Yarrowia lipolytica: one gene and its partner. The protein of the gene in region 2 interacts with the protein of the main gene of each other region in a pairwise test. Links are inferred from orthologs where the notes say so. Each region holds a gene or a part of one and is shown on either strand. Other genes may lie near its edges.

Region 1 (3,108 bases), on a different chromosome or scaffold from region 2:
AGCGCCAGCTGCTGTTGTTTTTCCGCCTTGAGAAGCTGTGCCTGGGCCTGCTCGGCGCTCTTGTGTGTGTGTTCGGCGGCTTTTGTCGGCTCCGTCATTGTGTGGTGTCTGTAGAATGTAGGTGTGTTTTTTTTTTGTGAGTGGTTGGTTCCGATTCTGCCCGAAAAATTCACGTGTTCCTAGGTCACGTGGGCTCTATGCGTGTAAAGCGGGGGATGTGGTATTCGCCTTGTTCGCCTCGGTCTCGTGCCTCTTGCTTCCTGGTCGCTGGTAGCGTTGCTTCTTGAGGCCTGGTGGAGTATTAGTGTAGGTGGTGATGCAAAGAAAATTCAAAAAAAGAAGTCAAATGCAAACCATGTTATGTAAGTGGTTGGTGGGGTGAAAGGGGCCCAAAGGGGAGCAAATATACAATTAAAAACATGAAAATCATATCTTGACCCTGTATCCCTTCGAATAGATCACGTGACATGTCGCCAAACCGTCCCTATCATCGCGTTGTATGGAACATCAACTCCCCCCCTCATCGACAGACACACCCTATACAGAATAGACACTGTATGATTGGGTTGCGAATAGAAGGGACCTTCCAATGAATGACTACCAGTACATCTACGTACGAGTAGACATGGGGCCTGCCAAAGGTGGGTCACATGACCTCGAGTTGCGCGATTGGAGCAATCGATAAATTTGAGAGAAGTCGGCTCTATACCTCCACTCTTGCTACATCCCGCGCACCCCACAGTAGAGTCTGACTGGCATGTTTGCTCGGTACACATGATTTTAACCTCTTCAATATATATACTCGGGCTAGCGTCGGAGTCTAACGTCTGGGGTTTTGAGGTGTGTTTCTGAGTCTGACAAGGCAGCTGGTAAGGATTTTTGTGTTTGCTGGATCGGGTGTTGGTGGTCATAGGGCAGTTATTGTGCTCTATCAGGTCAATTTCACCCTTGGTGGTGCTCTGTTCCCCCTCAGTGGGCAATGTGTTCACGCATCTTGACCCTACATTCACCGCTTTCTCCTGCCACCTTTTTCTCCACATCGAAGTCCACCGCCAAATGCACGTCATGCTTATTTGGTTCGGAATTGATTTCCTTTTTGAGAGGCCTGCAAATGGTCTCGATGGAGTATCTTAGCGAGATGAGACGCCGGCTCAGATAGATACCCGCCGACACTGCGCAATTTCGCTCTTCACAGAGAGAGCTGCCGTTAGCAGTAGTTGTTGGTTGTATCTCACTAGCAAGAACGTGATTGTTGATGCGTAGGCCTCTTTCGAAATAGAGATCGTACAGTAGCTACTTTGTAGCCAACAGACAACAGAGATAGACAGATAGCTTATCTGGCGTGTTGACAGGTCACGTGGCAAAAGGCAGTCCCGGTCACGTGCTCTTATTTCACACGCAGGGTGTATTTTATTGATTTTGATAGCCGTCTGCTGTCATTCCGCAATCACATGATGCGCCAACGCTTTTCTGTAGTCCAGTAATCGCTTGGTCCTGGATGGTGTTCATAAATGCACTATGGTGAGCTTATTTCTGCGGTTGATGACTCGGGCCATCCTGTGTGTCTTGTGGTTGTGTGTTCGAAGCCGAGCGGGGTTCCTTTGTGGTGTATTTGTGGGGTTTGATGGTTTGATTCTAGAGCTTTTGAGGGAGCTCCATGTCAATTGACTTGGAAACGAGTACAGGTGCTCAAATACGACTTTCTCTGGTACACATGCCTTCATTACTCCAATTTTGGACAATATCGGACCTAGAACCTGATTGGGGAAAGATACAAGAGATTTGAATATATCCCAGTGAATCTCATGTCACGAGCTATCCGCTGGTATAATCACATCTGGAATAATGCGTCATCTACCCCCATTTCAAGTCATCGGATATCACCTCTAACTTGCCCTACCATTCATCCTCCCAAACTCTGATAATGCATACAGCACAGCACATCACCAAATCCCACTCACCTGCAAATAACTCACGAGCAGCACACACCACACATCACACACCATGTCGCAGATTGATTTCCGAAGAATTGACGTCGACCAGTACGACCCAGACTCGTTCATCTCCAAGGAGGATCTCACTCCTCCCTGCAAGCCCGTCTCTGCCGCTGAGCAGCAACAGGTGGCCACGGAAATCCGAGGAGCCATTTCTCGAGGAGAGGCCAAGGCTGCCCTTCCCATTGCGCTGGACTTTGCTCCTTACGGTGGTGATGACAAGGTAAAGGTGAGTATGGAGCGGTGGAAACGATTGCTCTTGGCAGCAAGTGAAACCCCCATCAGCTCGTGATCAACCGACATCTGGGGACACAATCAGTTGTCTTTTAAATGTAACAACCGCCAGACCCCACGTACTAACCCAGGACGCCCACCTCAAGTCTGTAATTGAGGTTCTGAGCGCAACCAAATCGGCCGAGATCCCATCCGTGGTCAAGGCTCTCAACAAGGAACAGCAGGATGTGCTCATCAAGTACCTGTACAAGGCCATGGGCTCGCCACAGGGCCAGTCCCAAGGAGTCGGCGCCATCCTACTTGCCTGGTACGAGAAGACCGTGGACATCACCGGACAGGGAGCCGTCGTTCGATACATGTCTGATCGACGAACTGTTTAAGCGAGTTTAAGCGACTACAAGCCCCTCGAACAGCGGATGGATGTGGGTAAATATTATGAGGTTCTCTCGCAATTGTAAACTACAAGCGTTGCAGATCAATCATATAACGGTAGCAGTGCTAATGATGTAAATGAATGTAAACTATCATCTTTGTTTGGACAAAATCAAGTGTAGACTGCAAGTCAGTGTTCTTGTGTAGAGCCTATCGAAGAGCTGCTTCAGTCTATGTCGTCCATTGGCCAGTACCAACGGTGAATAATGTGTGAGTTCACTTGTCATAGACACAGTGGATCTGCCAACTATCAATATTGTTAATGTATGGACCTTCACGTTCCCTCCACGACATGGCATCGTCTAAGATGATGCCCCTTGGGTTGTCATTGTCTTCTTACATATGATCATCCAATTGACTAGTAAAAACTGTAGGTGGGTATGAGATCAACTGTTAGGACCACTTTCCATCTACCACTTGAATGATATCATGATTATTTATGTAATTA
Region 2 (4,804 bases):
TTCACCACGCAATTCAAGAGCGAAATCGAGAATCCCAGTTGCATGATCCAGGCTGTGGGAGTCAAGTCCGACGACGGTATGGGCTCTGCGTACCAATCCAACGTGTTTGGACCATGGTACATGGTGCTGGAGCTCACCGAGCAGCTCAAGAACGGCGGAAAGGTCATCTGGATCAGTTCCATCACGTCTTCTGAAAAGTACGTGGATCTGGAAGACATTGAGCTGATTCACAACAAGGAGCCATACAAGGGCTCGAAGCGTCTTATTGACGTGGCCCACAACTACTACTCGCCGAAACTGGAAGAGGAGCATGGTATCTACTCGTACCTGACCGACCCCGGTATCTTCACCTCCTCCTCGGCCTCCGAGTACCTCAACATCTTCTCTGCCTTCGGCATGTATCTCATGTTCTACTTTGCCCGGCTCATTGGACTGACCACCATGAACATTGACCCTTATAAGGGAGCCAACGTGCCTGTGTGGGTGACCTTGAGCGAGGACCCTTCAGCTCTTAAGCGAGAGTATCGTTTGGGCTCGAGAACAGGAAGATGGGGTACGGAGATGATGGACGCTACAAAGCTGCAATATGAGGGAAGCGAAGAAGTCGGAGCATACATTGATAAGGGTGTGGGAGAGTGGAGAGAGAAGTTGAAGGATCAGATTAACTAAGCCAATTGAATGGAGTAAAAGTTGATGAGGCAGTGGAGCTAGCTTAATAGACTGCTGGTTGGAGACTGTCAGCTGCCTTAATCTGAGCATGACTTGCTTCGAGACAGTGAAGGTGTCGAAGCTTGAGAGAGTATCCCAGTGTAGCCATCGCTTACATTTCAGTCTATACAAAACTTGGTAACACCGAAATTAACACATTGGACAATGGACAATGATGACAACTGTCATACAAGTGGAAGCTACGCGTGATTAGGTATTTCCACAGTGAATTGTTTTTAGAGGTCATGACTACTCTGCAAGTATCATACTGTCCTTTACTTCAAGTAGAACAAGGTGGCTACAGTCCTTTAACTCAGCAATTGGCCACTGTACATACTTAACAGGTGGCCATCTATGACTACAGTACGACAGCCATACCAGTCTCGTCATCTGCGGACTTGCCAGTGTCAGTGAAACTTGTGTATTGACATATCGTTGCGCACCATACAGTAATTGAACATATATGTGTATCTTGTCAGTATACAACCAGTCAGGCCCATCTCTCATTCGCACCTACACATCTGTAAACCACACTCACGTGACCATCTTACCTCAATCAATATATTTTGCCAAACCCACCCTCCACCTGATGACCCTGCCATCAGTGTTGCACTATAGTACATATAAGCGATCTTTCTTGTGGCTGCTCGTATAACCTCATTTATATACGTCATGTCGCATTCGCGTCAGACGTTCTATTGTGCCCATTGACAATTGCCTAGGAAAATAAGACATACTGAAGGCAATCTCGATACTCTATCTGCATACTCGATCGACTTTGGTTTCAATACTACCTACTTTTGAGCGCCCCACCGCCTTGCCACTCCGGCTAAATGGCGGATACAAGTAACTCCATCCGGATATAAGGTTTTGGCGATATATAGGAAAATCTCCTTCGAAAAACAATATTTCGCTGTTTCAAACCAGCTGAGATTTTGTTCACTGCCTCCCACTGATACAATTCTCTGCTATCTCTGTCTTAATCGTCTAGCTCTTAATCTGAGGGGTATTACCTTTAACAAAAGTTGCCCCGCTCAATCTTCTGACCCTAAAAGCCAGAATGTTGCGAATCAAAATCAAAATCAAAATTATGAGAGGGGCCACTAAGAAAATGATTTGTCGTGTACTTGTAGAGACTCGGTTGTCACGTCACCAGTATGAATAGGTCACATGACACGCTTACTCCACAGCAGATTTCTAAAAATAAATCCGCCACCGCAACTGGTGCACAGCCCTCTACACTGCCTCCGCCCCATATGACCACCTACATTGTTCTATTCCCTGGCCGGGTAACCCCCAACCAGCCCCCAAATTAGCCTTTGCCACTTCACTAGAGTTGATGCAGTTGCATATGCCCACTGTGGTATCTCCGAAACCAGAGACGTTCTTATACTACAGTTTAATACCTGGTACATCGGTACGAGTTATTGTGCGCAAAAAGAACATCTTTGCAACATGAACGCCATCAAGTTACAGGTGAGTACACGACGGATCCTATACCCATTGACCTCCTACTAACCCAGAAAAAATTCCCAGTTCTCACCCAGGAGGACATTTTTGGTCTTTGCGACTCTTTCCAGTGAGTATAAAGCCGCAACATGCGAAATATCAATGATGGATGGAAAAGTGACTAACACAGGCAACTGGATGTCGATGAGAAGGGATACATTGACAAGAATGAGGTGATCAAGGCTGTGGCCGCCTCTGGACGAGCCACCTACGACGAAATCCGAGAAGCTGTTCGAGAGAACATCGTGGACTCGTCGGGTCGAGTGGAGATGGATGACTACGTGGAGCTGCTGGCCAAGATTAAGGAAGGTAAGGGATCCAATCCTAGTGTGCGACAGGCCCCTGCTTCGCCTGGACGAGCCAACACCAGCCGAATTGTGGTTGGAGGAACTGCCTCTGGTACCCAACACACCATCAACCAGGAGGAGCGAGAAGAGTTCACCCGTCACATCAACTCGGTGTTGAGTGGTGACGCAGACATTGGCGACCGACTACCCTTTCCCACAGACACATTCCAGGTGTTTGATGAGTGTCGAGACGGTCTTGTGCTGTCCAAGCTGATCAACGACTCTGTACCCGACACCATCGATACTCGAGTTCTCAACTTCCCCCGAAAGAAAGCCCTCAACAAGTTCACCATGACTGAGAACGCCAACATTGTCATCAACTCCGCCAAGGCCATTGGTTGTGTGGTTGTCAACGTGCGAGCTGAGGACATCATCGACGGTAAGGAGCATCTGATTCTAGGTCTCATCTGGCAGATTATCCGACGAGGTCTGCTGTCCAAGATCGATATCAAGCACCATCCCGAGCTTTACCGACTGCTGGAGGACGACGAGACTCTCGAGCAGTTCCTGCGTCTTCCCCCGGAGCAGATCCTGCTGCGATGGTTCAACTACCACCTCAAGGCTGCTGGCTGGAACCGACGGGTCAACAACTTCTCCAAGGACGTTTGTGACGGTGAGAACTACACAATTCTCATGAACCAGTTGAAACCCGAAGAGTGCTCTCGAGCTCCTCTTCAGACCCAGGATCTGCTCCAGCGAGCCGAGGAGATTCTCACCAACGCCGACAAGATTGGGTGCAGAAAGTACCTGTCTCCCTCCGCACTGGTTTCTGGAAACCCCAAGCTTAACCTGGCCTTTGTTGCCCATCTGTTCAACACCTGGCCCGGTCTGGACCCCCTGGAGGAGAACGAGAAGGTGGATATCGAAGACTTTGACGCCGAGGGCGAGCGAGAGGCTCGAGTCTTCACCTTGTGGCTTAATTCACTCGATGTGGATCCCCCCGTCGTCTCGCTGTTCGAGGACCTCAAGGACGGAAACGTGCTGCTGCAGGCGTACGACAAGGTTATTCCCGGATCTGTCAACTGGAAGTTTGTTAACAAGCGTCCTGCTAACGGAAATGAGCTCATGACCTTCAAGGCCGTGGAGAACACCAACTACGCCGTGGAGATTGGAAAAGCCAACAAGTTCTCACTGGTTGGAATCGAAGGAAACGACATTACGGAGGGCCAGAAGACTCTGACCCTGGGTCTGGTGTGGCAGCTGATGCGACGAAACATTGTGCTGACTCTGGCAAGTTTGTCGCAGGGCGGAAAGGAAGTGTCCGATTCGGACATGCTCAAGTGGGCCCAGGGCCAGGTCCAGAAGGGTGGCAAGAGCTCTACCGTGCGATCCTTTAAGGACTCGTCGTTGGCCAATGGTCACTTCCTGCTGGACGTGCTCAATGGTCTCAAGCCTGGTTACGTTGACTACGACCTCGTTACGCCCGGTGACACTCCTGAGGATCAGTACCTCAACGCCAAGCTGGCAATCTCTATCGCCCGAAAGTTGGGCGCACTGATCTGGCTGGTTCCCGAGGATATCGTCGAGGTCCGATCTCGACTGATCCTGACCTTTATCGGATCTCTCATGTCCATCTGAGCGTTTTTAGAGGACTTGTGAGCTGTTTTGGGTCACCTATATGGGCGAGAAAGCTGTCTACTTGTAGCCTTATTCCGCTCCCTGTAACGATATTCAAGAGTGTATGTAATGAATTGTACCATTTCCATGACATTGTAATCGTCGTGCTTGTACGTACGAACTTGTGCAACTAATCACGAGTAAGTACAAGTAAAAAGGTATTACTTGTACAAGTACTTGTAGTTCTTGTGGTCGCTACTACAAGTAGTGGTCATATCGGTCTTGATGTAAGAATCAAGTGATTAATCAGCCGATCGTATTGTGTCGATTTTTTGAGATTTTTGATCGCACGTAATTGCAAATTGCAACTACAAGAATGGTCATCGCCAGCACAGAAATAATTACACCGTACCCACACGTAACATGTTAGAGCAATTTGACAGAGAGTGGGGGTTAAAATACTCATTTTAATTACAGCATGACAATGGAATTCTTTGTTTCTAGGTTTTAAAGTTTATTTAATCACGTGATTTGTATGTCACTATTTTTTAATTTACATAAGGTTCAAACTAAAATCCGCAATAGTTTAGTGGCTAGAATTTCCGCCTGTCAGAACCTCTGTTCAGCACGCGGGGGACCGGAGTTCAATTCTCCGTTGCGGAGGTTTGGTTACGGCCATATCC

Evidence for each region.
Region 1: the proteins of YALI1_B22793g (region 2) and YALI1_E13727g interact in a protein complementation assay, tested with the Saccharomyces cerevisiae proteins (2 studies listed by BioGRID). The link is inferred for Yarrowia lipolytica from reciprocal best matches to the Saccharomyces cerevisiae genes SAC6 and ARC15.

The regions. Positions count from the first base shown.
Region 1 is NC_090774.1:1,370,726-1,373,833, forward strand, and holds YALI1_E13727g (uncharacterized protein), read left to right. Parts: upstream 1-2,004; coding exon 2,005-2,223; intron 2,224-2,359; coding exon 2,360-2,608; downstream 2,609-3,108. Other genes in the region: YALI1_E13708g (uncharacterized protein), read right to left, coding at 1-98; YALI1_E13718g (uncharacterized protein), read right to left, coding at 459-1,067. UniProt on the Saccharomyces cerevisiae protein: Functions as a component of the Arp2/3 complex which is involved in regulation of actin polymerization and together with an activating nucleation-promoting factor (NPF) mediates the formation of branched actin networks.
Region 2 is NC_090771.1:2,276,905-2,281,708, reverse strand, and holds YALI1_B22793g (uncharacterized protein), read left to right. Parts: upstream 1-2,163; coding exon 2,164-2,184; intron 2,185-2,231; coding exon 2,232-2,287; intron 2,288-2,347; coding exon 2,348-4,142; downstream 4,143-4,804. Other genes in the region: YALI1_B22820g (uncharacterized protein), read left to right, coding at 1-669. UniProt on the Saccharomyces cerevisiae protein: Binds to actin, and functionally associates with actin structures involved in the development and maintenance of cell polarity.